2 linked regions of the Pelodiscus sinensis genome follow. The protein of the gene in region 2 interacts with the protein of the main gene of each other region in a pairwise test. Links are inferred from orthologs where the notes say so. Each region holds a gene or a part of one and is shown on either strand. Other genes may lie near its edges.

What was found.
Region 1: the proteins of RBBP8 (region 2) and RBL1 interact in a two-hybrid assay, tested with the Homo sapiens proteins (2 studies listed by BioGRID and IntAct). The link is inferred for Pelodiscus sinensis from reciprocal best matches to the Homo sapiens genes RBBP8 and RBL1.

Annotation. Positions count from the first base shown.
Region 1 is NC_134728.1:32,848,927-32,864,495, forward strand, and holds the start of RBL1 (retinoblastoma-like protein 1), read left to right. Parts: upstream 1-7,858; 5' UTR 7,859-7,970; coding exon 7,971-8,093; intron 8,094-15,059; exon of another isoform or gene 15,060-15,061; coding exon 15,062-15,195; intron 15,196-15,569. UniProt on the Homo sapiens protein: Key regulator of entry into cell division. Directly involved in heterochromatin formation by maintaining overall chromatin structure and, in particular, that of constitutive heterochromatin by stabilizing histone methylation.
Region 2 is NC_134712.1:78,291,820-78,307,032, forward strand, and holds the start of RBBP8 (DNA endonuclease RBBP8), read right to left. Parts: upstream 5,854-15,213; 5' UTR 5,664-5,853; intron 1-5,663. UniProt on the Homo sapiens protein: Endonuclease that cooperates with the MRE11-RAD50-NBN (MRN) complex in DNA-end resection, the first step of double-strand break (DSB) repair through the homologous recombination (HR) pathway.

The sequences.
Region 1 (15,569 bases), on a different chromosome or scaffold from region 2:
ACCTTTCCTCCCAGCCTGGCACTCTGTCACCACAGGCTGCTGGGTCCTCTGCACGGTGCAGCAGGGTTATACCCACCAACTCTCCTCTCCCCGGTCCCCCTCCCCATCCCTCTTCAGGGACCCTGCCCACAAGATGCTCCTTCTACAGGAAGCCAAGCTCTTGCTCAGACCGGAGGCAATGGAGGAAGTTGCACAATGCTACTGGAACCAAGGGTTTATTACCACTACTTTCTAGTCCCCCCGGGTGAGAGGGGGGCTCCAGCCCATTTGGGACCTGCACAGGATGAACCGCTACCTGATGAGGCTGAGCTTCCATATGGTTTCCCTGACCTCTCGTTCCCTCCCTGGATCCGGGCGTTTTGTGCGCTGCCCTCGATCTCAAGGACATTTACTGCCACATTGCCGAGGGTCACAGTCGTTTCCTGCGTACCGTGGTGGGAGCGAATCGCTGCCAGTTTGCAGTCCTCCCACTTGGCCTTGCCACAGCCCCTCAGGTTTGCACCAAACACCTGTTGGTGGCGCCCACCTTCAGAGGCCAGGGCTGCAGATCTACCCTTACCTGGCCTATGGCTTCTCGATGGCAACTCCAGCGCCAAGCGCCTCCCCACTTCCTCCAAGTGGTAGCAGATGCTTTGGGCCTGGGCTGAAGCGCCCATCTCAGTGCTCTCCGGGCCGTTCGTAGGGCATGCAACATCTTCCTCCCTCACCTGGTGGGCAGGGTGTCCAAATCTTCATGGACAACGTGGCCATGATGTCAACCGCAGGGAGAAGGGGGGGGCCAGGCAGCCACACTCTGTCCAGAGGCGGTTTGCCCCTGGCAATTCTGCATCCAGCATGACATTCATCTGGAGGCCCGTCCCCTTCCGGGCGCAGGAAACCTCCTGGCCAATCAGCTGGGCAGGGAGTTTTCTCACCATGAGTGGGCTCTTCATCCGAAAGTCGTGGCCGTGCCCTGCCGCAAGTGGACCTCTTTGCAACAGGGCAGAACACAGTGTCACAGCTTCTGCCCGAGTGGTCGCAAGGTCCCTGGGAGCTGCCTTCCTCCTTCATGCCCACTCAGCCCCGCGGTTCCGGGCAAGGCCAAGCAAGAGCGCTCGCAGCGTGTTCTCGTCGCACCAGTGTGGCCTTGGCAGCAGGGAACTTGCCACCGGACTCCCAGGGAACCAATTCTCTGTGCTTTACGCTGTCGTTACCCAGCTGCTGTCGCACCTCGCAGCCAGGGGATGTTTCACCAAGCGCGTTTCCTTTGTTTTGTGACTAAAAATCACCATGCTCTGATCCTTGTGTCCTAGAAGGCAGGAGGGTCTCTGTGCACAGGCCTTAGCTGACCTTGCAGTCTTTGAAGACAATTACAGGTATTTTTCCAAGCTCTCTCCAGGGGATGATTAAAGAGCTTGAGGGTACCCAAAGGAGTCTTCCTGGGTTTTCAAAGGGGGAGGGGCTGGATTTAGATGGTGCCAACGATACCACCCAAGGCCAGGGAATCTGTGACCTTGGGGAATTTTTAAACAGCAGCCGTTAGCAGCAGGGTATATTAGTCTCTTGTCTATTTTCACACTCGACGTGCGAGGATGGGGAACAGCCCTGACACACGCCCACAGATAATCCTCTCTTTAAACTGGTCTTTTGTGTTTTTTTCTTTTAATGACAATTGCCAATTGCTCTGCAAAGTTTTCGGATGCTGCTGCACAGAGGCCTGTGCCCTAAATTGTCCAAGGGAACAGAAGTCCAGCTTGGATTTTTACATCAAATGGTTTAGAAAAGCTACAAATGGGAAACGACTGTTTTAGTCCAAACAGAAAGATCTCTACTGCTACCATCCAAGGACTGTGTTGAGATCATACGTGGGAAACAACCAAAACAGAACCAGAACTAAATGGACCAAAATGGATGTGATGGTAACTGATGGACAAAGCCCTGAGAGGATTCCACCTAACACACCCTTTTTGGGTCTTTAAAAAAAAGCGTTTGTGGGTGGATCCAAACACTGTGGACAGGGTGAACTGAAAGGACTTTACCAGCATGCCTGCCACTCCTCAGCCCACAGTGATGCAGTTGTCTCTTTGCCCTCCTGATTTTGAGAGCGGCCCTGATCGGACGGGCTAGAGATAGAAAACAGACACAAGAGTAGACTACATCTTATACCAGAACTTCTTGTGCATGTCAGTGAGGTACCCAATGGACAGTCAGTGCATGGCGGAGTCACCCCAGCTTGCGTTACACTGTTTGCACAGACAAGCCCAGAATGGTGTCAAACTGGGAAATCTCGATAAAATCTCTCTGTAGTGAAAGAGAAAGGGACTAAGGGTGTTGGTAAAACAAAAAGCCTTTTTTCATATTCTCCATTTTAAAATACGGTTTGTCCGTTTGCTGTATTTTTTTCAAGTTATACCCATTTTTAGTGGTGCTTATTGCTATAGACTAAGCAGGCCAAATGCTGTTCTCTGAACAACCAATGAGACGTGACTGTTCTGTGCTGAGACCATTTATTCCATTGAAATTATCACGACAGTTTGAAGAGAAGCAGCTCCTTGACTGAACTGATGCTGAAGGCGGCTGGAAATGGGCCCAGCTCCATTTCACTGATGTTGATGGTGACACAAAAATGTTTCACTTGCAGGATCATCAAACTGCCAACGCTCTGCTCTTCCGCTTCAGTGGGAAAGTTTCATTCAGCAGCAAGTTTGATTTTTATTTTTAAAAAATCTATTTCCTGCACCTTTTTATGTTAGAAAAATCATTTGATTTCATTGTTTCTGCCCAGGGCAGTAAGAGAGCCGTCGATTAGTCGACTACCCGATAAGCTTAAGCTTATCTGTAGTCGAGTCAACTACTCGCATCCCCCCCATAGCAGCGACAGCAGGGGGAGAGGAGCAGGGGAGGTTGCTCTGGCAGCAGCCCCTGTCTATGTGGAGTCCCAACTTCCCACGGGGAGCCCCACAGACAGGGGCTGCTACCGGCTGGGCAGTCCCGCATCGCACGGGACCAAACCCCGCGGCGGCTCTGCAATTTAAAAGGCAGTAGGGGTCAGGCAGCCTGCCTTCCGGCTCCTGCTGTGTTTTAAATTGCAAGGCCACAGCGGAGTTTGGTCGAAAAGGCACTGAGCTGGACTGCCTGCCCACCTGGCTCCTACTAAATTTAGGAGCCAAGTGGGTAGATAATCTGACTCAGTCCCTGCTCCCACCAGGGAGCCCGACCCCTACTGCCTTTTAAATTGCAAAGCCACAGCGGGGGTTGGTCCCGCGTGATGTGGACTGAGCAATGCTGCCTGCCCCTATCGAGTAATCAATTACTCAGTAAAAATTCTATCCACTACTCGATACTAAAATTACCTAAATTTAACATCCCTACTTCTGTCCATTCAACTCCCTTCAATTCCCAGCATGCTGAGTGGCATCCATTCATATTCACCTTTAACCCTCTTTTAAACTGCTGCTTGGCAGATCTGATAGCTTTCAGAACAGTGGGAATGAGAAAAACATTGCTGTAAACTCAACAATGTGAAGTGTGCAAATAAAATGCACTTGATATAGAACCACATTAGCAGATGCCGTGGTGGACCAGGCTCCAACGGCCCCTGCTGGAGGCTTATGGCCTTACCATACTCTGCCAAGCAAACCACAGAGAAGTCCTCCAGGAAAGATAGGGTGGCACAAAGGACCTGACCAATGAGGGCCCAGCAAGCCAATTAAAAGGAAGCTGTTGCACCAGAGCGAGGCAGTTCTCTGTGGAAGCTGGAGGCTCAGGCTTGGCTGGAGAGCTGGGTTGCAGGAGGGTGGCCACAGCAGGACATGCAGGTACTTGGCTGCGCATACGAGATGAGTGGCACCCCCATTACACCTTCCTGTCAGACATCTGGATTGCCAAATGGTTTCAGAAAAAATACTGAACAGAAAAAAAGGACCCCAAGAGTTGTTAAGAAAAAAAAAAAGAAAGAAACGTGTCGTGAGGCTTTTTGGCCCTACCAGGCTGCCGGCAGCCACCCGCCATCTTGCCTCCCTGTGTGGGGCTGGACAGCTCCTCTGCGGAACCTGGTAAGCACTAGGGTTGTCAGGCTGCCTCCGTATTGAGCCGGACAGCCAGGGATTTTTGCCTCCTGGCCGGGGGAAAAAAAACAGAAAGTCCTGGACATTTTAGGTGTCCGGTATTTTCTGAAGTTTTTTACCGTACAGGAGACAAAAGTACCAAACTGTCCGGTTCAATACCGGACACCTGGCAACCCTAGACATCTCTAGAGTCTAGAAAAGCAGCCCTTTAGTAGCTCACTTCTCCCCCCGCCTCACTAGCCAGGGATCACTGATCCCACATATTAAGACACCCCCCCTACACACGCAAGAGCTCCATCCAGTCTCCCTGCTCTTCAATGGGTGATGCTCACTAGTTCCACCTCACTGATAGGAGCTAGAACAGCTCTTCCCTGCCCTCCACAGGCAGGGAGCTGCTCCAGCCCACAGGGCCTACCACGGGCAGGGGGTGCTCTGATCAGCCAGCTGGATCAGCTCCTGTCTGTGGTGGGCCTGGCTTGGCTCCCTGCCACAGGCAGGGCATGCGCCAACCAGCTGGCTAGAGCGGCCCTTGTCTATGGCAGGGGGTGGCTCCAGCCCGGCTCCATTCTCCCCTCCCCCCGCCTATAGTTGGTTAACCGGTTAAACATAATGGTTGACGGGTTACCCAATTAAATGGGATTTTGCATCCCTAGTTTATGCATGGGGCCCTGTTTATTGCCCACCCGCTGAATTTTATGCAGAATTTGCTGACTTCTGTGTCTGTTTCCTGCCACAATCTCTGGCTGCTCTCGCTCCCTGGCATCCTAGGGATCCCAGTGGCGCTCCCAGCCCTGTTCCAAGGAGAATACAGTGGCAATAATGAAACATGCGTTAGTCACAGTGGTTTCAGTGAGGAGTGCTTTCACTCTGTCCCATACGTCCCTGAGCGCTGGGGGGCGAGCTGCAGCCAGCGCCAGCTTTCACTAGTAAGCCTTTTATACGCTCACCAACCGCACGCCAGCCTGGAGGAGTGTGTCTGTCTCCAGAGTGGGAGCCAAAATACTTCCCAGCTCCCCCCCCCCCTGGGGAGGGGCCAGTGCTGCCAGTGGGCAGAGGGTGCAGAGGGGAAGGTCCCAGGGCTACCCCTAGAACAGCTCCCTGTTGGAATGTGCGCCTGGAGGACACTGAGCATGCTCAGTAGCTCTGCTGAAGCCAGTGCCCTTTGCCCTGCTGGCTGCTTTTTACAGGTGGTTAAAAAGGGACAGAAATACCTGTCATGGATACCCAGACACAGGCTGATGAAGAAAGCCAGGAGGTGAGGGTCAATCCAGTGCCCGGTAGCAAGGAACTGTTCTCAAGTCTTGATGTTTGAGGATGCTCAGCAACTCTACAGGGTAGACACACCGCATACTGAAGCAAGAGCAAGCACACAGGATAAGTTAGCATACGGGCAGGGTTGGGCGCAGGGCAGGTGGCAGCCAGGGCGGCGTAGTAAATTACTCTATATAGTCAGGATGGGGGAGGCAGCAGTATAGGATGACCAGAGGCTGCCCTATTAAGAGCAGTTACAGACAGATACCTTGCATGTCATTGCTCCCTATAGGGCTGTGCCTACTGCTGGTAGCAAGGGCTTGGCATAGCATCTTCTCACAGCTGCACAGACCAGTAAGGGCTGTTAGTAGCACAGCTCTACAGGCTCAGTGACAGGCAGCCAGCATAGCTAGGGGTTGCACATAGCACAGACCTACAAGGAGGCAGGACAGGCAGCCAGCGAGTCTAGGGTACCGGTAGTCCTACAGATGCAAGGATAGGCAGCTGGCGTGTCTAGGGATACGGTAGCACAGACCTACAGGGTGCAGAGACAGGCAGACAGCGTGTCTAGGGGCTGCTGGCAGTGCAGCACTATAGATGCAGGGACAAGCAGCTGGGCTACGTCTACACTGGTACCCTTTTCCGGAAATGCTTAAAATGGAACAGTTTTCCGTTATAAGTATTTCCGGAAAAAGCACGTCCACATTGGCAGGATGCTTTTCCGGAAAAGCACTTTTTCCGGAAAAGCGTCCATGGCCAATGTAGATGCGCTTTTCCGGAAAAAAGCCCCGATTGTCATTTTCGCAATCGAGGCTTTTTTGTGGAAAAGACTACTGTGCTGTCTACCCTGGCCCTTTTCCGGAACAGTTTTTCCAGAAAAGGACTTTTGCCCGAACGGGAGCAGCATAGTTTTTCCAGAAAAACACTGACAATTTTACAGTAGATTGTCACTGCTTTTCCAGAAAAGCAAGCGGCCAGTGTAGATAGCTGGCAAGTTATTCCAGAAAAGCGGCTGCTGGTATTTAAGGGTACCAGCAGAACAGCCCTACTGGCAAAGGGACTGGTGGCTGGTGTGCCTAAGAGTACTGGTAACACAACCCTAAAGGCACAAGGACAGGCAGTCAGCATGTCTAGGGGTGCCAGTAGTGCAGCACTACAGCGTGCAGAGACAGTCAGCCAGCGTGTGTAGGGGCTGCTAGTGATAGTCCTACAGGGTGCAGACACAGGGCATGTCTAGGGGCTGCTGGTAGCACATCCCTACAGGGTGCAGGGACAGGCAGTGGTTCCCAATTTTATTTGGCCACAGAACCCTTTTAAACTCAAAAGAATTTTGCAGAACCCCTAATAAAAGTCTTATATAGAGAGATGAAAAATAAACCACAACTAAGTAAGGATAATAAACATGCTAATCAAAGGCATGAGATCAACACAAATGACAATTGTTTTCAATAAAATGCCTAAATATTAATTATTTTTTAAATGATAAAATGTTGCTGTGATGGAATTTTCTCACGAAACCCTGGGGATCTGCAGAACACCACTTGGGAAACACTGCGCTGAGCGTCGTTAGCACAGCCCTAGGCCAGGCACATGGAACTAGGGGTACCAGCAGCGCGGCGCGACAGGCGGCGGGACAGGCAGGGGGGCATGACAGGCGGCGGGAGGCGGAGGGACAGGCGGCGGGGCGCGACAGGCGGCGGGAGGCGGCGGGGCGCGACAGGCGGCGGGACAGGCGGCGGGGCGCGACAGGTGGAGGGAGGCGGAGGGACAGGCGGCGGGGCGGGGCGCGACAGGCGGCGGAGGGACAGGCGGCGGGGCGCGACAGGCGGCGGAGGGACAGGCGGCGGGGCGCGACGGGAGGCGGAGGGACAGGCGGCGGGGCGCGACAGGCGGCGGAGGGACAGGCGGCGGGGCGCGACAGGCGGAGGGACAGGCGGCGGGGCGCGACAGGCGGAGGGAGGCGGAGGGACAGGCGGCGGGGCGCGACAGGCGGCGGAGGGACAGGCGGCGGGGCGCGACAGGCGGCGGAGGGACAGGCGGCGGGGCGCGACGGGCGGCGGAGGGACAGGCGGCGGGGCGCGACAGGCGGCGGAGGGACAGGCGGCGGGGCGCGACAGGCGGAGGGAGGCGGAGGGACAGGCGGCGGGGCGCGACAGGCGGAGGGAGGCGGAGGGACAGGCGGCGGGGCGCGACAGGCGGAGGGACAGGCGGCGGGGCGCGACAGGCGGAGGGACAGGCGGCGGGGCGCGACAGGCGGCGGGAGGCGGAGGGACAGGCGGCGGGGCGCGACAGGCGGAGGGACAGGCGGCGGGGCACGACAGGCGGCGGGAGGCGGAGGGACAGGCGGCGGGGCGCGACAGGCGGCGGGAGGCGGAGGGACAGGCGGCGGGAGGGACAGGAGGCGGGGCGCGACAGGCGGCGGGAGGCGGAGGGACAGGCGGCGGGGCGCGACAGGCGGCGGGAGGCGGAGGGACAGGCGGCGGGAGGGACAGGAGGCGGGGCGCTACAGGCGGAGGGAGGCGGCGGGCAGCCCGGGCCGGCAGCCCCGCTCCTCAGGCCGGCGGGCGGGCGGTCGCTGCGGGCGGAGGGAGACGCGTAACGAGGCCCGGCGGTGAAGCGGTTTTGGCGCGCTGCGCGCAAGGGCTTGTGGGATTGGAGCCGCCGGGAGCCGCCATGGCCCGGGAGGAGGCCGCAGCCGCCATCGAGCGCCTCTGCCAGGAGCTCAACCTGGACGCGGCCAGCGCCGCCGGGGCGCTGCGGGACTTCCGGGCGCTGCGGGGCACGTACAGCCTGGAGGTGCGCGCCGGGGAGCGCGGGGGGCGGGGCTGGGGCGCGGGCCTGGCTCGGGTGCAGGGCCTCGCCCGCGGGGCCCGGTGCAGCCCGCACCCACAGCGGACCTCGGGGTCACCCAGCGTGACTGCCCCCCCCCCCCCCCGCGCTCAGCTATGCCCCGCCCCCGGGGCATGCCAGGCCCCACCCCCTAGGCTAAGCCCCGCCCTCTCCGCTAAGCGCCTCCCCCCCCCCCCCCGGGCCATGCCAGGCCCCCCCAGCTAAGCCCCTGGCATGAGGACTCCACACCCCCCTCCGCTTAGCTGTGCTTCGCCCCGAGCTAAGCCCCGGCATGGCAGCCCCTTGCCCCAGCCCTGCCAGCAGAGCCGGGCGGTGGAGCAGTGCAGTCAGCCCGAGACACCGAATGCAGAGCAGCCGTTCAGGGCTGCAGCCCACGTTCGATGCCTTGTTCTGGGACAAGCCTTGGAGCGGTTCAGGAGGTTTTGCACCTGAAATTCACACCCTACTTAACCCGAATTAACTTTAAAACGTCAACAGTCCTGAAGGGCTAGTGAGTCACTGTGCGTTTAAAGTCTTTTCACACTCGCTTTCCAAGTGGTACCTTTCTGGGATCCAACTGCGGCCCCTCCCAGCTCCCTTCATTTGTCATTGAGGTTTTGGGGAGCAGTTCATCCAGAGCATCTCACAACACTTTTTTGGTGGCCTCAGATTGCAGCCACCATCTCTTGCTCATAGAAACACTGACATTTTTTTCTAAAATACAGTGAAAGCTTTGTTATCCAGCACTCAGAGGAGCTGGGGGAAAATGCAGGACAATGTAGCACTTTAAAGACTAACAAGATGGTTTATTAGATGATGAGCTTTCGTGGGCCAGACCCACTTCCTCAGATCAAATAGTGGAAGAAAGTAGTCACAACCATAGATACAAATGGAGCTGGGGGTTACCTGTTAATTGAATGTGCCAAATACTCAGCTTATTGCTCCATTCCCACCCCATGCTGGCAGATCCAGCTGGAGGCAGGCTGAGGGAGAAGGAGATGCCTGCTGATGATGTCTGCCAGCAGGCAGTAGTCCTGCAACCGCCAGTTGGACTGGTGAGAGTTAGGTGTGAGCCAGCAGATGTGGCTGGGGCAATGCTGGTTAACACAATTTTCCAGTTAACAAAGTCCAGATAAGCTTTCACTGTACTTAATTAACTTTAGGAAAAACAAATATGCACATATACATGTCCAAATCACTAATTTATTTATGTAAGGTTTTTTCCCTCAGTCAATAATCAAATTAATGTACAGTTTTCTCCATTTTTCACTGGACGTAAACAGAATAGAAACAAAAATAAGATCCTTTGCATGTTTTTGTCTTTTGGTGTTTCTTTTGTTTTTTTTGTTTTAGATTTGTAAATTCTAGTAAGTCTTCTGTTCTTTTTATGTTTGTTAATATCATTTTCCACAGAATGACTCGCTTACAAGCTGGGAGGCAGTGGAAAATGATATTAAACATACAAAACCAATTTCGCAGCAGATTACTCAGGCCTAGCAGGTTGGGGGACACATTAAGCCCTGGATAGGGAGGTAGGTTGGAAGGCAGCAAGGACGAGGGGCAATTTGGTGGGGGTGAGGAGTTGGGGAGACAATGGGGGCCAGTATTGATTGGGGCATGGCAAGCCTGGAATCAATGCTGGAAGCCCAAGGTCAGAGCCAAAGCCCAGTGACCAGGGCCCAGAGCCAAATAGGTGCCAAAATAGGGGAATTTTCTCTGGCTTCCTGCTCCTACAGCATTTCTGACTCCAGAAGGGGACAGGTCTCATCCCCTGTTGGTGACCCTTGGAGATGGGCTGCTATTTCCTTCCCCCTCATATCACTACCTAGGAGCTTGTGGCCACAAGAAAAGCCCCTGGTGGCCACATGCAGCCACAGTGACAGCATTTGAGAAACACTGAATTAATCCCTTCTGAATTCACTTGTCTTCTGGAATGGTCAGTAAACACTTCTTCCCATGATGAAAAAGATATTTATATTTAAACAAACGCCTGTTTAAGAAATAGGAGGATTTGATCTGGCTCTTATTCTTTGTGGGAAAACCAAAGTGGGTATATGCGTCTGCTCTCACATGGTGCTAGGATGATCTTGATACTGAGGAAGTTGGCAAATGTCATTGTGGAGCCTTTGGCTATTATCTTTGAAAAGGCGTGGCGATCGGGAGAAATCCCGGATGACTGGAAAAAGGCAAATGTAGTGCCCATCTTCAAAAAAGGGAAGAAGGATGATCCAGGAAACTGTCAGTCTTACCTCGGTTCCTGGAAAAATCATGGAAGGGATCCTTAAGGAATCCATATTGAGGCACTTGGATGAGAGGAAAGTGATTAGGAATAGTCCGCATGGATTCACAAAGGGCAAGTCGTGCCTGACCAATCTGATTAGCTTCTATGATGAGGTAACTGGCTCGGTGGACATGGGGAAGTCAGTGGATGTTATATACCTTGACTTTAGCAAGGCTTTTGATACGGTCTCCCACAATATTCTTGCCAGCAAGTTAAGGGATTGTGGATTGGATAAATGGATGGTAAGATGGATAGAAAGATGGCTAGAAGGCCGGGCCCAGCGGGTAGTGATCAATGGCTCGATGTCAGGATGGCGGTCGGTTTCTAGCGGAGTGCCCCAAGGTTCGGTTCTAGGACCGGTTTTGTTTAATATCTTTATTAATGATCTGGATGAGGGGATGGATTGCACCCTCAGCAAGTTTGCGGATGACACTAAGCTGGGGGGAGAGGTAGATACGCTTAAGGGCAGAGATAGGGTACAGAATGACTTAGACAAATTGGAGGATTGGGCCACAAGAAATCTGATGAGGTTCAACAAGGACAAGTGTAGAGTCCTGCACTTGGGATGGATGAATCCCAAGCATAGTTACAAGCTGGGGACCAACTGGTTAAGTAGTAGTTCTGCAGAAAAGGACCTGGGGGTTACAGTGGATGAGAAGCTAGATATGAGTCAACAGTGTGCCCTTGTAGCCAAGAAGGCTAATGGCATATTAGGTTGCATTAAGAGGAGCATTGCCAGCAGATCCAGAGATGTCATCATTCCCCTTTATTCAGCTTTGGTGAGGCTGCATCTGGAGTATTGTGTCCAGTTCTGGGCCCCCCACTACAAAAAGGATGTGGACGCATTGGAGAGGGTCCAGCGGAGGGCAACCAAAATGATTCGGGGGCTGGAGCATATGACTTATGAGAGGCTGAGGGACTTGGGTCTGTTTAGTCTGCAGAAGCGAAGAGTGAGGGGGGATTTGAGAGCAGCCTTCAACTTCCTGAAAGGAGGTTCCAAAGAGGATGGAGAGAGACTGTTCTCAGTGGTGACAGATGGCAGAACAAGGAGCAATGGTCTCAAGTTGTGGTGGGAGAGGTCCAGGTTGGATATTAGGAAAAACTATTTCACTAGAAGGGTGGTGAAGCACTGGAATGGGTTACCTAGGGAAGTAGCGGAGTCTCCATCCCTAGAGGTGTTTAAGTCTCGGCTTGACAAAGCCCTGGCCGGGTTGATTTAGTTGGAATTGGTCCTGCCTAGAGCAGGGGGCTGGACTTGATGACCTTCTGAGGTCTCTTCCAGTTCTATGATTCTATGATCTTAAAGATCAGAGCAGTCGTGTCTTATTTTTTCAGTTTAAGTGTTAAAAGATGGCTGGAAGTCACAATTAGTATTTTGGGGCAGAGTTTTTATCTGTTTTTTTACCCTTTTCACCACTTATTTGTAGAGAGAACAGAAATCACATGCAAATACAGCTTACTGTAGCTTCTGGAGCAGGGAGTGGGAATTGCTAGAACATGCTAAGTACCCCCTAGATCTATCTGGCATATGATCTCTTGTTCCCTTGCATAAGTTAGAGCAGCAGCCAAGTTTGATCCAACCTAGTTTAGCGCAGAGAATCAGTAACTGATAGTTTGATGGAGCAGGAGTTATTTTGGCCATGCCTATACTACAAGCTTATATTGAGTCAAATTACATTAGCATATAGATGCAATTGTTAATACATTGCTTGTGTGTGTGCATACTTGGTTGCTTGTGCCAACAGTGCTCATACTCACCAGGAGTGCTTGTATCAATGCAGAGTGGAGTGCACTGTAAGTTGGTAATTCCACTGTATGACTCGCCTCCATCTAGTGCACTGTCTTGAGAAGTTTTGGCAATGCCTAATAGGGCTGAAAGGAGTCATGATATGATGATTGGGAGCATGGGTCCACTTTGTAGTCTGCAGCTGTCTTCATCTCCTGATGCTTATCGGTAGCCCATAATTTTTGCACCTGTATTTCAAAAGCCCACAAATCTATATGGTCCTTTTTGCTGTCATCTCTGACAGAACCATGGACACTGCATAGCTTTTCACTATTGTCATGAACATTACAAGCACAAGGTACAGAATTCTGGAGTATTTGCAGAGCTGCTTGAAAAAAACCAAGCAGTGGGGGACATGATTTTTTGGAGGACAGACCGCTGTGGGACTTCATGAGAACCAGTTCAGGGTTATTGGTGGCGTTCACAAAATAGCTGCTGATGGTGGAGTGCAGCTTCTAGCATAAGTAAATTAATTAAAAGTACAAAAGATTGGGTCCTGCTCCTTTTTTTTTTTTTTTTTTTTTTTTTTAAAGAGGACAACCCTATAATTGAAAATTTATGTGCACTCTTACCTGAGGTTCTTTCCCCTGCATTGAGCTTGCTCATACTGGACTGTGGCGAAGTCAAATACAGGCTGTCTTTGCTGTAAGTCCAAGGTACATTCCAAAAAAACTTGGACTTGTAGTGAAACAACTTAAAGTGGGGAATTTTTTTCCCACAGCTGACTTACATTTGCACAAATTTTTTTTGCACGACTTACCAGGGAATAGGAGGACTTATAATGCATCAGTTCCTACAAGCGCAAATGACTTCAGTGTGGAATGGATGAATCCCGGGATGACTCATAGTGAGGATGCCCTGTATACGTCCTGGCTCCCTGTGCAGCTGAATGCCCTGGTTCCCCCTCCCTCATCCTCCTCTTCATCCAGCACCACCTCCTTTTTGCTGTTCCTGTCAGGGGCTTGTGACTCAGGCTGCTGCCAGCATGCTGTTGGGGATGGTGGTGCAATCTTCCCTAAGGATGGCATGCAGCTCTTTGTAAAAGCAATAGGTCTGTGGCTTGGCACAAAATTGATTATTGACCCCTCTGGCCTTCTGGTATGCTGCTGCAGCTTCTTGGCACCCTTCTCCCAAATCTGAACAATCTGCTGGTAGAGGTCAGCATTTCTGTGGTTGGATCAGAGTTGTGTCTTGTGTCTCCTTGAGCCCAGGAACCCAATATATTCTGTCTGCTCTAGGCAGGAATGTGTAGATGGCATGGTTAAATAGGCAACACTCAACAGAAAGCTGCTAGGTGTGCTTGCCAAGCTAGGTAATCAGGAAACAGAATCCCCCAAATTTGCAGGGCTTTAAGGAGGAAAAGGGAGCTTTCAGTCTTTGTGACCCCTGGCAGTGGAGTTCACGATGATAACCACAGAAGTAAGTGTGGAGCATTGTTGGATGGTTGCTCAGGGACAGTTAGGGTTGACTCAACTAACACAGTGTCTGTACTCACACTGTGTTGACTGAAGAACATCACCTGTGACTTTATGTTTCTCAGGGAACTGGTGTTCCTATGTCTGCATAATAGCGTATTCACATGGAATAGGGATGAATTTAAGTGTAGATAAAAGCACAAGCAGGTTAATGTAAGCTTGTATGGACCTTATTTATAGTCTAGACCTGGCCTTTTTTGCGCAAACACTACTAGCTTTCTAAAATAGTTTCTGGTGTACTTTCTCTGGAGTCCAAGCAGTACTAGTTTAAATTCACACCTTAGGTTTAAAAAGTGTAACTTTCCCATGGAGGTGAGATTTACTGTATAAGCACCTCCATGGGAACCCCCGAAAGGGGAAGAAGAAAGCCCCTTAGGTCTGGAATGCCAGAGGTGAAGAAATCATCCTGTGTTTCTGGGATTTCTCCTTTTCCAGCCAGCAAAGACCTCTTGGAATCCAGACATCACCTCAGCAAGCTAATGCCTGCTTTGGACAGGTCTCTTGGCTTATCTTTACCAGCTATTACTTGTGGGACAGGCTAGAAGCATTGTTTGATACTCATCCTGATTTAAGCTTTGGGAAGCTTGTAGTTACTGAGTTTGAGGAGCTTGTCGAGATATAGTTTAAAGAGGGCTTTTTAAAAACTGATATTTTGACTTGCTTAATCTTTGTGTCCAAGCAATAAGATAAAGGCAAGGCTTAGACTTTAGAATGGTGATTCTTCTATTTTGAAAATATTTGCTTATGTACTTCAGAAATAACTTATAAAAGGCAGCTTTCAAAGGATTGTGTGTACTGATGTCTTCTGATAAGTCAGTGTAGAAGTTGACTCTAGGCATCTTAGTAGAAGAGGGTCTTGGAAAATCTGAAATGACTTTTACAAGTCTGGAGAGGTCATTTCAGTCGTAAGGAAACAAGGAAGAACTTCCATGTCAATGTGCCAGTAGGGGAATAAAATAGACAGGGCTGGCTTCACTGATGTTGCAGAAAAGATCATTTTTAGCTGCTTAGTGGCCAGATTGTGGTGTCATAGAGTTGTACAGTACATTTATTATCTTTAATACAGAGGAGTAGTCAGCAGAGACCTCAGGGTTCTGCAGTATGTGGTGGTTCAGTGTGAACTAGGGCAAAATTACTGGTATATTGCAGGCCTTGTAGTCTCAGTTTTTAGGGTAGCCCTCCACGCCTAGGAAGATGTGGTGTGATTTGATTTGGGCAGTTTTGATTTCTTTGCTCCAGCCAGGTTAAAAAACCAATCATCAAACCCTGAGGAAATGTTATTGTCCCAAAGGATTTTAGAGATACTTGAAGTAGAGGAAAAGCTGAGCCTGCCAATTGAGCGTTGTTGCACTAAAAAGGTTAGTTCATTGATTGTTTACTTCTGGTTTGACAGGGAGATGTGGTGCACTGGTTGGCTTGTGCTCTATATGTTGCTTGTCGTAAAAGCATAATTCCCACTGTTGGAAGTGGCCTTATGGAAGGAAACTGTGTTTCACTGACTAGGATACTACGTTCAGCCAAACTAAGGTAATCTTGGGTTTCATGTATTTACTTATTTTACTGGAGATGTAAACACCTGTGAGAAGTTACAGTGTCTTTTCCCTTATTGCTCCCCTTTTGATTGTTGGTTTACTTATATTCTAGCTGAAAACAGAATGGCACTTTCCTCATAGCTTGGAAGTAGTGCTTCACTGATATTGCATAAATATAAGATCCAGCACATTAGCCAGTTTTCACAGCTATTAAGGCCAAAAGGGACTGTTAAAATCCTCGTATCTGATTTCCTGCATGACATAGACCAAAGAAGCCATTGATTTCTCCATCTAGTTCAGTAACTTCTTTTTGAACTAGAGCTTATGTTTTAGAAAGATACTTAATTTTGATCTAAAGGCTTCAAGGGA
Region 2 (15,213 bases):
TATACAGTAGATATTAGTATCCTTGTTACTGGGTGGATTTACCAACAATTTTGTCAAGCTATTAGTTGAAATACTATTCTTTCATTGGTCCTAGAAGCACTAATATAATGAAAAGCCTGTTATTGCACCAGTAGCTTAGGTGCTGCATGAATGTTTAGTAGGCATTCTTAGAACATTACGTGGACCTATAGATAAGGTGAGGGTGCAGTACAGCTATGGCAGGTAACTCAGAATTCCTTGCTTTTATTAACTTAAATTTACATGGAAAAATTAACAACTTTGAATTACATATCTTAAGTAACTGGAAAAATCCACATTTGAATTTTATTTTGCCCTTTAAAATGCTTTCTTTTGACTTTAAAAGGTGTGTATGCATGTTAGTGCTCATAAAAGCCACTGGCTCAACCACTCTAGCAAATGAAATACTCTATTTATCCACATAAGTTAAGTACATTTCTTCCCACTGCACTTCCAGTGTGTTTTGACCTCCCTGACCTGGAGGATCCACCTCCAAGGTAAATATGTAATTCATTTTCCAGGCCAATTAATACTTTGGTCTTTCTATTAAGACAGTCCATAAGGATGTCCATTAATCTCAGTTCTATTGGTGCTTTTGTAGCTAGTCTTTTTCCACAGGGCATTGGACTGAGATCACCAAACCATCAAGTGATGGAAACAGCAGATGGCATTTGACCAAGCAGACTAGAAACTGGCAATCGCTGAGCCACTCAATTTCCTCTGTTAAGCAGCAGATAGATAGAGTTCTTGTTTCCAGCTCTCTGGTACTGACAGCAGTTGCTCCTGGTGGAAGGAGTGATTCCACCACCATCATTTGATTCTATTCCAGGGTTTTTCCAAGCACTTTTGAAGACAAGTCAGCATCAGTTTTTCAATTTTTCTTTCTAGCACAGTGGACAAACATGGACAGAGAAAATGCTGGATGGGTGTTCCCTCCCTGTCCACATGCCTTAGGAATGAGTTATATCATGCCAGTTTAATGAACATAAGTCATAGGACTTTACGGGCACATCTAAACTACATTCCTCTTTCAAAAGGAATGTAAATGAAGCCGATCGAAAATTCAAATGAAGTGAGGACTTACAAATCTCGTGCTTAATTTGCATAATCGCGTGAGAGTGCTTCTTCGAAAAAGAGTTTTTCAAGAAAGAAACCACAGTCTAGATGGGATTCTTTTGGGGAAAAATAAAAACCCTTTTTTGAAAGAACCTGTATTCATTTTTTCAGGAGTACAGGTTCTTTCGAAAAAGTTTTTTTCCCCCCCAAAACTCCATCTACACTGCAGTTTCTTTTTTGAAAAACCCTTTTTTGAAAAAATGCTCACACGATTATGCAAATGAAGTACAAGATTTGTAAATCCACGCTTCATTTGAGTTTTTGATTGGCTTCATTTACATTTCTCTTTCGAAAGAGGAATGTAGTTTAGATGTGCCCTACATTACCAACACTGATAGGTAGCATCATCAGCCTACAGTTATGTAGTACCCAGACCTGAACATACTCAATGCCAAGTGTAGCACTTATTACAGTGATTTCAATGTGATTACTTAAGGTAGGAATAACTATACTTGCTAGATGGACCAGATCCATAATTACTTTTAAAGCAAAGGGCAAGTTAATACTACCATGCTATAATGCTGTTGGTGGAGATGCATTATACGAACGGGAGAGACTGTCTCATCAGCATAATTACTCCATCAGTGTGAGAGGTGAAAGCTGCTGCCAGGAGTAGGGATTTTAAAATGTGTTTACATGTAAAGTGGAGGGGAGGCAGCTTTTAAGCTGGCTCTCTGCAAGTCCTGGTTCCTGCAGCACTGCCTGCTCCCATTCCCCGAGTGCTGCTGCATTGGGGTGGAGTGGCAAGTGGGAGCCAGTGGTGACAACACTGTCTGCTCAACCCCCACTCTGCTGTCTCTGATATAGAGGCAACGGGGAATAGGCAAAGCTGCAAGTAACCATGAAGGTTTACCAATAAGCCCAGGCTCACTGGTTAACCATTTACATTATCGTATCCCCATTTTTCCTTACCAGTTTGATCCTCTTCATTGATTACACAATTATTATTCCTCTGTCTTACCATTGGAGCTTAACTTGGAATATTTGGCAAGCATGCCTCATCCAAAGACTAAGTAGAAGAGTGACAGATTTTGGTAATAATAGTGTATGTTAACATCAGACACAGACCAGAGAGAAGAATCAAAAGTGCAAAATATGTTACTGTGCAGTTGTTCTAATGGCAGATTTGATTTACCCCAGCTTTGCAAAATCATAAACATTTACTCTCATCCTTTATTAAGATGTTAGAACTTTAACAGGAAAACCTACTCCACTATATAATACTTACCTTTCCATCACTCTCACACCAATATTCCCTCTAATTTTTCCATCCACGTGCAGAATACATTTTGTAAGGTGCACTGAGGCATGATGTGCACCACAAATAGAAACACATGCTGCTGACTATGGATGCTCTACTAATCAGCTGGGTGGCACCTGACTCTCTCCTGGGTGGCCTCCCAAGCACTCAGCTTACAGGGAACATTCCCTTTCACCTGTCCAAAAAAACCCTCAAACCAAAAAAAGGCACTCTGAATGAGTGGGAAAGTATCATTTGAAAGTCTGATTTATTTAATTGGAATTTTTAAACTGTACTGTGTTCTAGTGCTCTAACTTTGGAAAATGAAGGGCTACTGGCGTAATTTATAGTCTATAAGGTAACCCCCTCAAAACTATAGAGTATATTACAGTGTGAACTCTGCTTGATGATAGCCATTTCAATATAACAGTGCTGCAGGCATATACAAGTAATACACGGCTGTGAGGAGAACACAATAATAATACTTTGAACTTCTATTGTGGTTGACATCTAAGGATCTGAAAATGCTTGGGAGATATTAATTAATTAATTACACCTTAGAACAACCTTGCAAAGTTTTACCACTGTTATTTAACAGATAGGGAATTTAAAGAGTTGAAGGCTAGGTTCTGACTGCGATGGAAGTTGAGCATGCTCAGTACTACACAAACAGTGCTCTGCACTTTGCAAGTTTAGGGTATGCCTACTCTGTACTATGGGATAAGGTTGAATTACGGTGTGCAACTTCATCTTCGTTAATTGCGTAGTTGAATTCAAAGTACCTTAACTCGACTATTGGAGCTGTCCACACTGCAGGAAGTGAAAGGGAGAACACTCTCCCTTCAACTTCCCTTAATCCTTGTGGAAGCAGGACTACCCACATTGACCGGAGTGCTCCTCTCAGTTCAAATTAGCATGTCTTCACTAGACTAGCTAATTTGAACCCTGAAAGATAAACAGTGGCAGCTTCAATCTTCTTTGTAGTGCAGACATACCCTTACTTACCTAAAGTGGAACAAGAAAACCACTGATTTATCTATACAGCACTCATCACTATGATGTGTCTACTAGAAAATAATGCCATGCAATTGCCATAAACTAGAGGGCTGTGTCTACACCGGGCCACTTGCTTTTCCGGAAAAGCAATGACGACGATCTACTGTAAAATTGTCAGTGTATTTCCGGAAAAACTATGCTGCTCCCGTTTGGGCAAAAGTCCTTTTCCGGAAAAACTGTTCCGGAAAAGGGCCAGTGTAGACAGCACAGTAGTCTTTTCCGCAAAAAAACCCCGATTGCGAAAATGACGATCGGGACTTTTTTTCCGGAAAAGCTCGTCTACATTGGCCATGGATGCTTTTCCGGAAAAAGTGCTTTGTGAACTTACCACCCAACACTATGGCTGTGTCTACATTGGCAAGATTTTGTAGTGCCTACACTGTCTACACTGGCCGCGAGTTCTTGCGCAAGAACACTGACATTCTAATGTATGAAATCAGTGCTTCTTGCGCAAGAACTATGATGCTCCCGCTCAGGAATAAGCCCTCTTGCGCAACTGTTCTTGCGTAAGAGGCCAGTTTAGACAGGTAACATGAATTTCTTGTGCAAGAAAGCCCTATGATTAAAATGGCCATCGGAGCTTTCTTGCGCAAGAGAGCATCTACACTGGCATGGATGTTCTTGCGCAAAAGCACATCTCTTGTGCAAAGGCACATGCCAGTGTAGACACTCTTCTGGAAGAGTTTTTGCACAAGAACACTTCCACAGAAGAGTTCTTGTGCAAAATCATGCCAATGTAGACGTAGCCTATAGGCATAATATTTATATTTTTGGAAAAATATTCTTAATATACAGATTCCCTTAATGTTTTTACAATTTTTTCAGCAGCAAGGACACTTACAGATTTTTTAGCCTCTAAAAATGAATAAATTTTTCTAAACAGTATTCTTACACTCCAGGAGACTGAGAAGCGTTTCCTTTTGCTGTTCCATTTTCCCCGCACTTTGGAGAAAACATCTTGTTTTATCAAGAAGACATGGTGCTGCCAACGAGAAGGTCAGGTCATCCTGCCATTCACAGCATTTTTTGTGATGTTCAGGACACCTATTTACTGACATTCTATCACAGAGTAATAAAGATAACTGTTCACTTTTATATCAACCTGGAGTTCCAATGTAGTAAACATTCGCTAGGATGAGAATTCCTGTTGTGAGATTATTTTCAATTCTCCTATTCTCTGTATAGCTCATTCCCATAAACTGCTCCAAAACAGAGTCCACTAGGTACAAAAGTTTCACTAGATCTCATGTAAGACCTGTAGTTATTTCTCTAAAGATACACTCAAATAAGCTTCCCAGGGACAGGGAAGTGGTTTTAGGATTGTTTTCAAAAGTAAAGTTACATAGATGATAGGAAGATTCACATTTACTTCAGCTTAAGACTTATTTGTCCTAACAGGCATGACAAAACCTGTCTTCATTCCTTTCTATTCAGCTAAGTACTTCTGAGCGCCAGCAGTTAATCAGTGACCAGATTCCATAAGCCTTTGTTTTCTATACTGTTTTTATTCTTCTTATGTGACACAACCTGTGAATATACTCAGATTCCAGACACTCACAATTTTCAGGGCTGTATGAATCTGGAGTTCTGACTTGGGCTTTATTTATATTGCAACTGTGAATTACTTTAAATATGTTGTGATGTGTAATAAGTAAGTGTCTTACATATAAGAAACAGCAGGCTTCTTAACGTTGACCACTAAGTCAGTTATGGTTATTCTAACTCAAGCTTTTTGAATTAACTTATTCCATAAAACTGGAAAGTTTTAAAGTTGGTCTAAGAAGCAATATAACAGTATCAACCCTGTGTGCTTGTATAGCACAGGGCCATTGTGGCAAAGTACAGTTAGATATTATCACCACATTTTACAAATAAGAAAACTAACACAGAGAAATAAGTGACTTTTCCAAGTCCCCCACCAAGTAAATTGCAGAACCTCGATAGGGATTCAGGGAGTACTTGTCTCCCACTCCTGCATTTAGTCTAATAGATGACACTCTCTATTAAATATTATATAGGCAGAACAGCTGATGTTCAGCTACATAGAGAAGTGTCAAAAGTTATACATACAAAAATGTTGTCACCAACAACCACCGAAGCTGGAGTTAGTGGTATTTAGATGCATTAAAAGAAACAGCAACTCTACATCTTTAAGTTAAATGTGGTAACATTGATTTTCTAAATTGGGTTTCTTACCCAAGTTCAACATTTTAAAAAGACTTTTAAAACTCACCTTTTTTTAAGTGTGAAAAGTTCTGTTCTTGATTGGGAATGCTGAATATTTCCTGCTGACTTTTCCTCAAGTTATAAATCTCAGGCATAAATATCAGACTGTGGACCACACTAGGGAATGCTGAGAAGAGATCTGCTGTACCTAAGATACATACAATGTGCAATGGATAACCTAATATGTCTTTCATTTAACTGGCTGGGCAGGTTTCTACATTCTGTAGAACATGGAATCATACCAGAATTTGTTGGCATAATAGGCCTGTCAAACCGGTTCCTCAGCAGACCAGGAACCTGTCCAACCAGTCTGCATCAAAGGCTAGCCCAACATGCTGTAGCTCAACTCAGTTCAGTTAGGCTTTATAGATGGTAAATTATTCACGCTTCAATCAACTCTCATCATACTACTTTAATAGAATGATGTAGCCTCCAGCAAAATAATTTATCAAGGGCTGGGGGTATGATATATCCATGTCACCTACAGCAAGATCTTATTCTCAATTATCTTTCACTACATATGTAGAAGATGCACTAGTGTAAAAGGTTTGCCTTTTATTGGCATCAATACAGAGAAAAACAGGGAAGAAAACCATTTATTTTAAATAAATAACATAGGTGTATTATAATTAGATGACAGTAAATCTTTACCACAAGCAAACAAAACATCAAGGCCAAATCCTACTTTACTCTAGACCCCTTCAAGGATTCTAAACTGTTCTTTGCAAATGTGATGCAGGGGAGGAGAGGGAGGAGAGTGGATGTTCAGGGCCTGCACATGGAAATCTGGTGAAATCGGTCTGCCAGGTTTCTTATGCTTCAGTGCTGGTGGGTTTTGGAGGTGAGGCAAGTCGGGAAGTGACAGATATGGGTAGTGTGTCCATAATTATATAGAACCTCCGTACTTGCCAGAGACAATCTTCCTCCCATATAGAGGGTACAGATTCAAACAGAGCTACTGTGGCTCTTGCTGCCAGCCACCAGGATATTTGGGGAACTGCCCCAAGTTTGTCATATTTGTTCAAGCTGCATGCATGCGGGAACCAGGAGTTCTCAATAAAATGTTGTCCTTCCTTATAAACCTGTATGTTCTTCCCAGTAAGCATATGAGCCAGAATTTTCAAATCTGGTGGCATGATATTCAGAGATGATGACCACCCTCAACTTCCATAGAAATCAATGGGAATTGAGAGCCTCAGCACCCTTAAAAATATACTTTTGGTACAGGGTTGCCAGGTGTCCGGTTTTGAACTGGACAGTCCAGTATTTGAGCTTTCTGTTCAGGAAACAAATTGAGAAAATATAAATGAGAAAATATAAATGTCCGGTATTTTCTAAATAAGATGTAATGTAGATTGTGATGTAATGTCAAGTGTGTCCAGTATTTTTGTTGAAACCATCTGGTACTTTGGTACCTACATTTAGGCTGTTAACACATACTTAGGCTCATTTAACTTTTACTTAGTGGCCTTACATTAGGTATCTTGGTTTGAAAAAAATCATCCTATTCTTTCTGGACAAAGATACTGGCCTAAGTTAGAAACAGATGTGGATTTGTTTGTGATGGGATCTAACCCCACTATTTATTTATACTGCTGTAGATCCCCTTTTTAATCATAGCTATTAGAAATATAGTGGATAGTGAAGAGAAAATTACTCTCTCCTTTTAACCACCCTTGAGTAATGTGTCCCCCGCTTTTTTTAAATCATAGATCAGGAGAGCTACAAGAAAGGAATGGATGTGTTAGTATGAGACCTATGAAAATACACGTTTTCCTGTGCAAGAGAGAAGCAAATATAAAGGACTTGGAAAGTAGGCGCTAACTGTGAAGAAGGCAAGCAGATTAGTACATCTGAGTTGAAATGACAGATGTGCACTGTTTATGCATGCAGTCACACAACCTCAGGCTATGATTTCATACAGCTAGGCAGGGCTGGGTTTGGTCAGTAATTGGGTAAGAGATTTACAGGTAAATCTGCTGCAGGAAGTGGTTTTGGTGATTCACTGAGTAGTAATGAAATAATGCCAAATATGATAAGGGCATCTGGTGCTGCCATATTTCAGTCAAAACATAAAACAGGGGGCATGGCAACATGTGATTATTAAAAATGAACTGTGAAATCAATGACCTGACTTCTCCTCTAAACCCACTAACTTACAACAGGTCTCCAAAATATATTGTCAGGAATCAATGTTGCAAGGTTACAATGTGCTTGGTTTTTCCTTCCTACTAAAGAAGGCAACACAATTGCTTCATCCTGCACACAGAGAAACCTGAGATGTCCCCTCTCTTGTTTCAGATATTCCCTTTTGATGTACTTTGTAATAAAGGAGACTACTGTAAGGGGACATCACAGAGATACACTGCTTCAACTTGAACCCACTGCAATGTTGCTTTGAAACTGAAAAAAAAAACCTCCCTGCAGTTGTTTATCACCCTCCAGTTTCACTCCTTTAAAGCCACACTAATGATCCTCTGTAAACTCTTCCAATCTATGTAACATTCACAGAGAATCTTCCTAAGAATAAAAGACTCAGCAAGTGGCACAAATCTAAAGTAAAACAACCTAAATGGTGCAGGTGCAGACTTGCTCTTCTGGTAAAAGTATGCGCAAACATTCATGTCTACAAGTATTCATTATAGAGAATTTACAACATACCTCCCTGTAGCTATCAAAAGCTGCTCAGTATTTTCATGAACAAATTCAGATAACACACACACAAATAACACTATCAGAATTAGCTTAAGATCTCTCTTCATGATGAGTTGTGTAGCAGAGTAAGGGCAGTGAGAATTTTGATGCAAACTACAGCATAGAGAATAACCTGCTAAATAGGCCAGGCCCAAGCCTGGGTGATGCAGCAAAGTGGATGAAATCCTCTGCTACAGGGAATCTTGACAGTCAGGGAAATCCTCAAGGTACTCCAGAAGATGCACATGATTTGGCCCTATTCAGCATTTGCTACTGCTCATCATTTGCTGATGAAAATTTCTTAAGTTTTTTTTTGAGCAGGTATTGCAGGGCTGGGCAGTGGTAATGTATTAAGCCAAGTCCGAAAAAGAGAACTATCATTTTTCACCACTCGCAACACAGGAGTGAGCTTGAAAGAAAAATGGGAGTGTTTTTCCTCTCAGAGAAACAAACTTTGAAATGTTATTTGTTTGCATTCCAATTCTGCCTCTTCCTCTGCAGATTCAGAGAGTCCTCTTGTAGCAGAATCAGTGCAGTTCATCTAGTACAGTAGAGAAAGTTAGGAGCTGAGGAGTTTATCACACAACAGTGCATATCAAGCCCTGTTCAGCACAGAATTCTGGTGGGCTGTTGATAAGGCAGATTTGGAATAGAGGAGAAGCAGGCCTGGAGGATTTACTCCAAAGAGATTCCAAGACCCTTTCCACCTCCAGAGGATTTGAGCTCTTCTTGAGGGTCTCCTGGCCATGTAGAGACAAGATCTGACCTTCCTTTGTTTATATAAGAGGAGGACACCAATGCTTATTATTCAGGGATATGACAGCAGCTACTAGTGCTTCCTTCGGTAGCTATTTTAAAATCCTGTTGCTTGTAAATTTGTCCTCTTCTGGTAATAGTTCATATTTTTTGAGTTGTCTTTCTCACTGGTCACTCCTTTTTCAAGCTTATTAATGTGTTAAGCAAACTTGGTCCTAGTATGGAACCTTGGGACACCCTCCTCCTCCCCCCTGCTAGCCTTTGGCCATGCTGAAATCTGATAAATTATTTCCTCATTTAGTTTTCTGCTTTTTGCCTTCTTTTCAATGACCATTTTTGTAAGGCTAAATGAATATAATTATATTTACCATAATAAAAGTAAGTTTAGTGACACAGTATTTGTATTGCATCTGTAAAGCTGCTTATCTGCTTTTAACCAACCTTGCAAGTCACAATCTAATATTTTTAAATATAGGTGGGTATATTAATCCTCAGATAATCACTGTTGTTTCAAAAAACATCTCACTTTCAGAACAAAACAATATCCCAGATAAAACTTGGAGAAACTGGAATTTCCCTAGCTCATGTGTTCTATCCCTGAACAATGCTCTTTGTATTTTGCATGGAAGTCCATAATTAAAAAGAAACATGCAGTGCTTGCACAACATTCTCTTTTGCGCTTTGCTCGAAGAATGAAGTATACTTCCCTTCTTTTGCAATCATTCTAGTCTATCCTTGTGTCTCACAAAGAGTGAACTCAGTTTGGTCACATTGGTCTTCATTGTGTACTCACTAGTTTTATTTCACTACGGGGGCAATAACCAACTTTTGGCACAGTTATGGTGGGCTCAGTTAATTTCTTGAGTAAAACCATTTACTGGAGTTAAACCAGCAATGAATTTAGGCTATTTCCACATACCTCTCTCTGCACTCCTATATAGTCAGTGTTTTATTATCAAACATTTTTATTTAGCAGTTGTAAAATAGGTGTGTCTTCAGTGCAAAATCTGTTTCTAGCTTTCATCTATATCAGGATAACTTTATTTAAAGTCATTCTGATCAGAATTTCCATCACTGAAATAAGTTAAATAGGACAGCTTGATCTTTTGATTTAGCAAGCTGCTGCTATTTTCCTTATACATCCTGCTTCAGCAAATAAACCTCAAAGGAAATTAAATTCCGTAAGGAGTAGTGTAATTCAATAAAAACACAGAAAATGTACATCTGAACGTTTCTAATCTCAGCAGTGGATCTGGAAAAGCTACTTCCATGAATAACACCAACTGTCAGATAAACAGTTTGGATACCTTACATCATGTAAGTTCGTGAACCTGTTGATTTTCACTACCTCTCTTGTATATTCATCTGGAGTGTGCTGAGGACACAATGGTCAAATAATTCTTCAGGCTACCATGTTATGACAAATGGTACTTGTTTAGATAAAAGTGTCCTGCCCTGGACAGTCTGCAATGCAAGTACTATTGCTTATCTAAAGACTTACTAAAACAGTGGTGTCAAATATGCAATCCATGAGCCAAATACCCGTCACTTCATATATTTATGTGGTCACAGGGTAGATTCAGAAACTAAGTTTTCATTTAAAAATAAAAGGCTCAGTGGGAGCTGCTGTATGCTGGACACTGCTTCCCAGGATTTTATAATCAATATGTTGTTTAGTACCAAGTCAAATGCTTTACAGATATCTAAGTGTATTATATCAATCCTTACCTCTATCAACCAAACTTCTAATATCACAAAAGACATCAAGTTAGTTTTTACAGGATCTATTTTCCATAAACCAATATTAATTATAATTAGCATTAACTGCATTCTCCTTCTTTAATTCTTAATCGGGTCCCAGATCAGCTGCTGCCTTATCTTGCCTGGGATCGATGTCAGACTGACAAGGTAATATAGTTGCTAACCAAGGTAAACCTCTTTACCCTTTTTACTAACTGGTACCACATTAGTTTTCATTCAGTCTTCTGGAACTTCCCCAGTGCTTCCAAATTGACTGAAAATTAACATTAATGGTGTAGAGTAAGCTCCTCATCCAGCTCTTGAAACTGTGATTCTGATGTTGCTTAGGCCTGATCTGTTCAAGGATATTGTGTAGTAATTTTGTTGACACAGTGTTATAAATATACTATTTTATTTTTCCCCTTCCCATCTGAGGCCAAATCAGTTAAAACACACACAGGTATGTGCAATGTAATTATTCCTTATGGATCTGATTTATTTTCCTCACTGATGGTTAAAATATAAACTTATCACCTGCACTGGAAAGAATTAACTTTGAAGTGATTTATTACATGTTTCTAGTCAAGGTTTTTTTATGCTCTCTGTTTACCATGGTGTGCATAAGACTACAATGTTTTAAATGCTCTAATGATCAAAAAATGAAGTGCAATGCAGTCACAATGTGAGTATTGTTATTTCCTCAGGTAGGTTTGAGCTTCTGAGAAATCCATTGGAAGTGGGAATATGCTGTGTAGCTACTGCTTCCTTCTGGGCTCAGTTCCCCAATTTGCCTGTTTACACCTGCGGTATGATTCTGCTCCCCAGTTGGATAAGTGTGACTTTTAGAATCAAGCTACCAATATGAATACTCACACTTCTGATTTTAAAATTTGCTCTCCACAATAAGTGTAAAATTTTTAGGCAGTATGTAGCATTTTAGCAATCATTGACAGTAAACATTTTGATTTTCTTGTAAGTATAAAAATTGTTTATTACCACCAAAATTTTTATCAGAAACTTTCCCATTAGAGACACTGAGTCCAGTTTCCACTCTGGGAAACATGAGTGGTATTTCGCCACACCTGACTATTCTGCTTGGGAAGTCAGCTTTAATTTACAGTCATGGTACCATAGCAGGATGTACTATGGCAGTGGTCTCCAACCTTTTAAAGCATGAGATCACTTTTTGAATTTAAGTGCAATCTAAGATCTACCTCAAACCCAAATACCGTTGCCCCGCTTCCTTTGTGCCTCCTTTCTAAGGCCTCACCCCTGCTCACTGCATCCTCCTTTCCTCCCCCATCCTCCCTCCCTTTCACCAGGTTGGAGCAGAGGGTTGGGGTGCAGGCTCTGGTAATGGATTAAGGGATTTGGAGAGTGGGAGAGGCTCTGAGCTGAGCTTGGGGCAAGCCGATGAGGTGTTGGAGGGGGTTCTAGATGCAGGCTTTGGGAGGGTGTTTGGATGCAGGGGTGCTCAGGGCTAGGGCAGGGGCTTGGGATGTAGGAGAAGGTTCATGATTGGGGTAGGGTTTCAGGATGTGGGCTCCAACTGAGCACTGCTTACCTCAGGCTGCTTCTGGGTTGTGGTGCAGTGGGGCTGCCCTGGCCCTGCACCACTCCCTAAAGTAGTCAGCAAACTCCATCCCAAGCCCTGTTGTCCCCCCCTCTCTGCTCTGTGGAGACAGGATACAGGGTGGGAGGGGGGCACCTTGACATCAGTGCTCCTCTTCTCCCTCCCCTGCCCTGCACAGAAAGCAGGAGGCTCCCTGCGATGGCGGGAGGCAGCTCCAAGGCAAAGGGCAGTTGAAATGCCAGCACTTGATAGCCTCTTGTCCAAACCTGTCAGGATCACCTGTCTGAGGCTCCAAGATCTACCAGTAGATCCTGATCTCCTGGTTGGTGAGCACTGTACTATGGTATCTCTAATCACCTTAGCTACATTTGCTACATTTCTTGGCAGCAGGGTCTAGGGCAAGGGAAGGGAACCCTTTTAGAGTCACGGGCTGCTGACCCACAGAAAAATCAGCTGGGGGCCACACAAATGAGAAACAACCAAACAATTAAAAAAAAACCTCCAATCTTTCACTGACATGGCCTCTGACTGAGAAGGAGAAAAACACTCCCTAAAGCCTAGCAGTCCCAGGCTAGTAGATTTCATGTGCTCCAGCCCCACAGGGGATGGCAGGAGGCTGGAGCACCAGCCTGGACTCCCCAGTGCTGGGGGGAACCCTGAACTTCAGGGGCTGGATCCAGGCAAGCCAGGGGCTGCATCTAGCCCCTGGGCCTTAGGTTCCCCATCCCTGGTTTAGGGCAATGTGCACCACTGTGAGAGTCCCAGCCAGGCAGTCTTTTTACTACTAGTGGAATGGATGTGTATGTGAAAAGAGCCCATAGTCCCCTGTGTGTCCATCACAATGATATTCTAAACCAGCCCAGGACATTCATTTGTAGTTTTAACACCTCAAGGGGTAGGACCCAGTAACTGGTTCATGTCTGCCCCCAAAAAAATCAGGGGCCTGATTCTGATTCTTGCAAAGATATGAGAGGAAAAGAAAGATTTAAAAAAAAAAAAAGAGCATGAAAATATCCCCCTTCTCCACCAGCTCTAGTGGGCCTGATTTTCATCACATAGGTGTACATTCAGGAATAATGCTATTCAAATCAGTGGAATTATATCACTATAGTTAGATCAGAACTGGAGTTTGTTGACATCTCAGGATTTTCCCCCTCAATACCTCCATTAATTTGTTTCCTTCTGGCAATGAAATAAAATCAGTCGTTCTCCTCCCCTGAAAATTCGTTTTAAATTGCACAATCTTTGTTTCAATAGTACTTGACAGATTCCAGGTTGTGCTAATAGCTGTGAGAAGTTATAAAGATTAAGACCTTGGAGATTCCAGGAAGATGCTCTAATGTATTAAAACATACATATGTGCTGGATTTAACAAATTTAATCTTTTTCCCTGAAGATACAGCCAGAGGAGAGACTAATGCCAAGGTGTCAAAGAACATGTATATTCTCCCATGTAAACATTCACTGACACTTTAGCATTAGAACTTTAATTTAAATTTTAAACTAAGTGCTAATTTAAGCACTTTAAGAACTTTAAAGTGCTTAAATTACCCAATATGTTGCTATATGGCTCTTATTCTGTTGGAAAGTACTAGAGAATGTTATTCGGAACCAGTCATTCCCAAATTTTTTGTCCACACCCCCACCCCCTTACTTGATGCGCACTTCCCTGGGAGGCACAGTCGGGAGTTGGAGCTGTGATTGGGTCTAAGGCCAGGGCTTGCTACTGGGAGCAGGCTCATGGTTGGGAGTAGGACTGCGAGTCAGTGACTAAAGGATTAGGCTTCCTATCCTAATAGGAATGAGGTGTACAGCTAGTTCGGATTAGGAAGCCTAATCCGAACTAGCTAGTCCGTGCCGCGTGTAGCCGTGCGGCACGGGGTCCGACCTAGCCGGCATTTAAAAATGGCGCCGGCCGGCTTTATGCAAATGAAGCCCAGGAAATTCAAATCCCGGGCTTCATTTGCAACTCCGTATGACTACATTACCCCCCCTAGTTCGAACTAGGGGGGTAGTGTAGACATACCCTCAATGTGTACCTGTTTTGTTCATTCCCTCTGAAGCACCTGGCATTGGCCATTGTTGGAAGACAGGATACTGGGCTAGATGGACCTTTGGTCTGACCCAGTTGGCTGTTCTGATGGCATAGACACCACTAGCAAAGCAGTGGAAAGCAGTCTGTAATAATCTCTCTCTCAGAAGATGCAACAAGCTCACCATCAGGCCCCTTTGGGCAGGAAGGCAGGTTACCACAGAATTCAAATTAGTTTCATCATAGTCATAAGATATTTCACACCCTCCCCCCTAGATAATTTGCAGGTCTGCAGGAAAGGATATGGCAGCCTGCATACAGAAGGGAACAAACTCCAATTTAAGCATATCCAGTTTTTGCTGTCTCATCAAGGTCTGCCTAGATAAATAAAAAATATGTTAGTGCATTTCTTATCCTCTTGATGTTACTTCTGAGGGGGGGCTTTCCTGTAGAAATGACAAAGGTTTTTGGTATTACATTGTATTTTATTGTCTTGTTATTACACTTGCTGTTGGTCTGCAAGAGGGTGGCATGAGGTGGCTGCACGTTCCATGAGATAGTGCAGATATACTCACATCATCAAGTGTGGGATTGAGGTCAGGATGGTAGGACCTATGGAGTAGCATTAATGGAAATGAAGAGGCAACTGAGGGGCTCTGCTGGGGCTTGTTCTCTCAGCTGATCTGCTGGTACTTTGTTTCAACTGTTCAAGCCATTATGCCTCGGCCATTGGCATCCTCTCTTTTCTGGCAGCTACCGTAA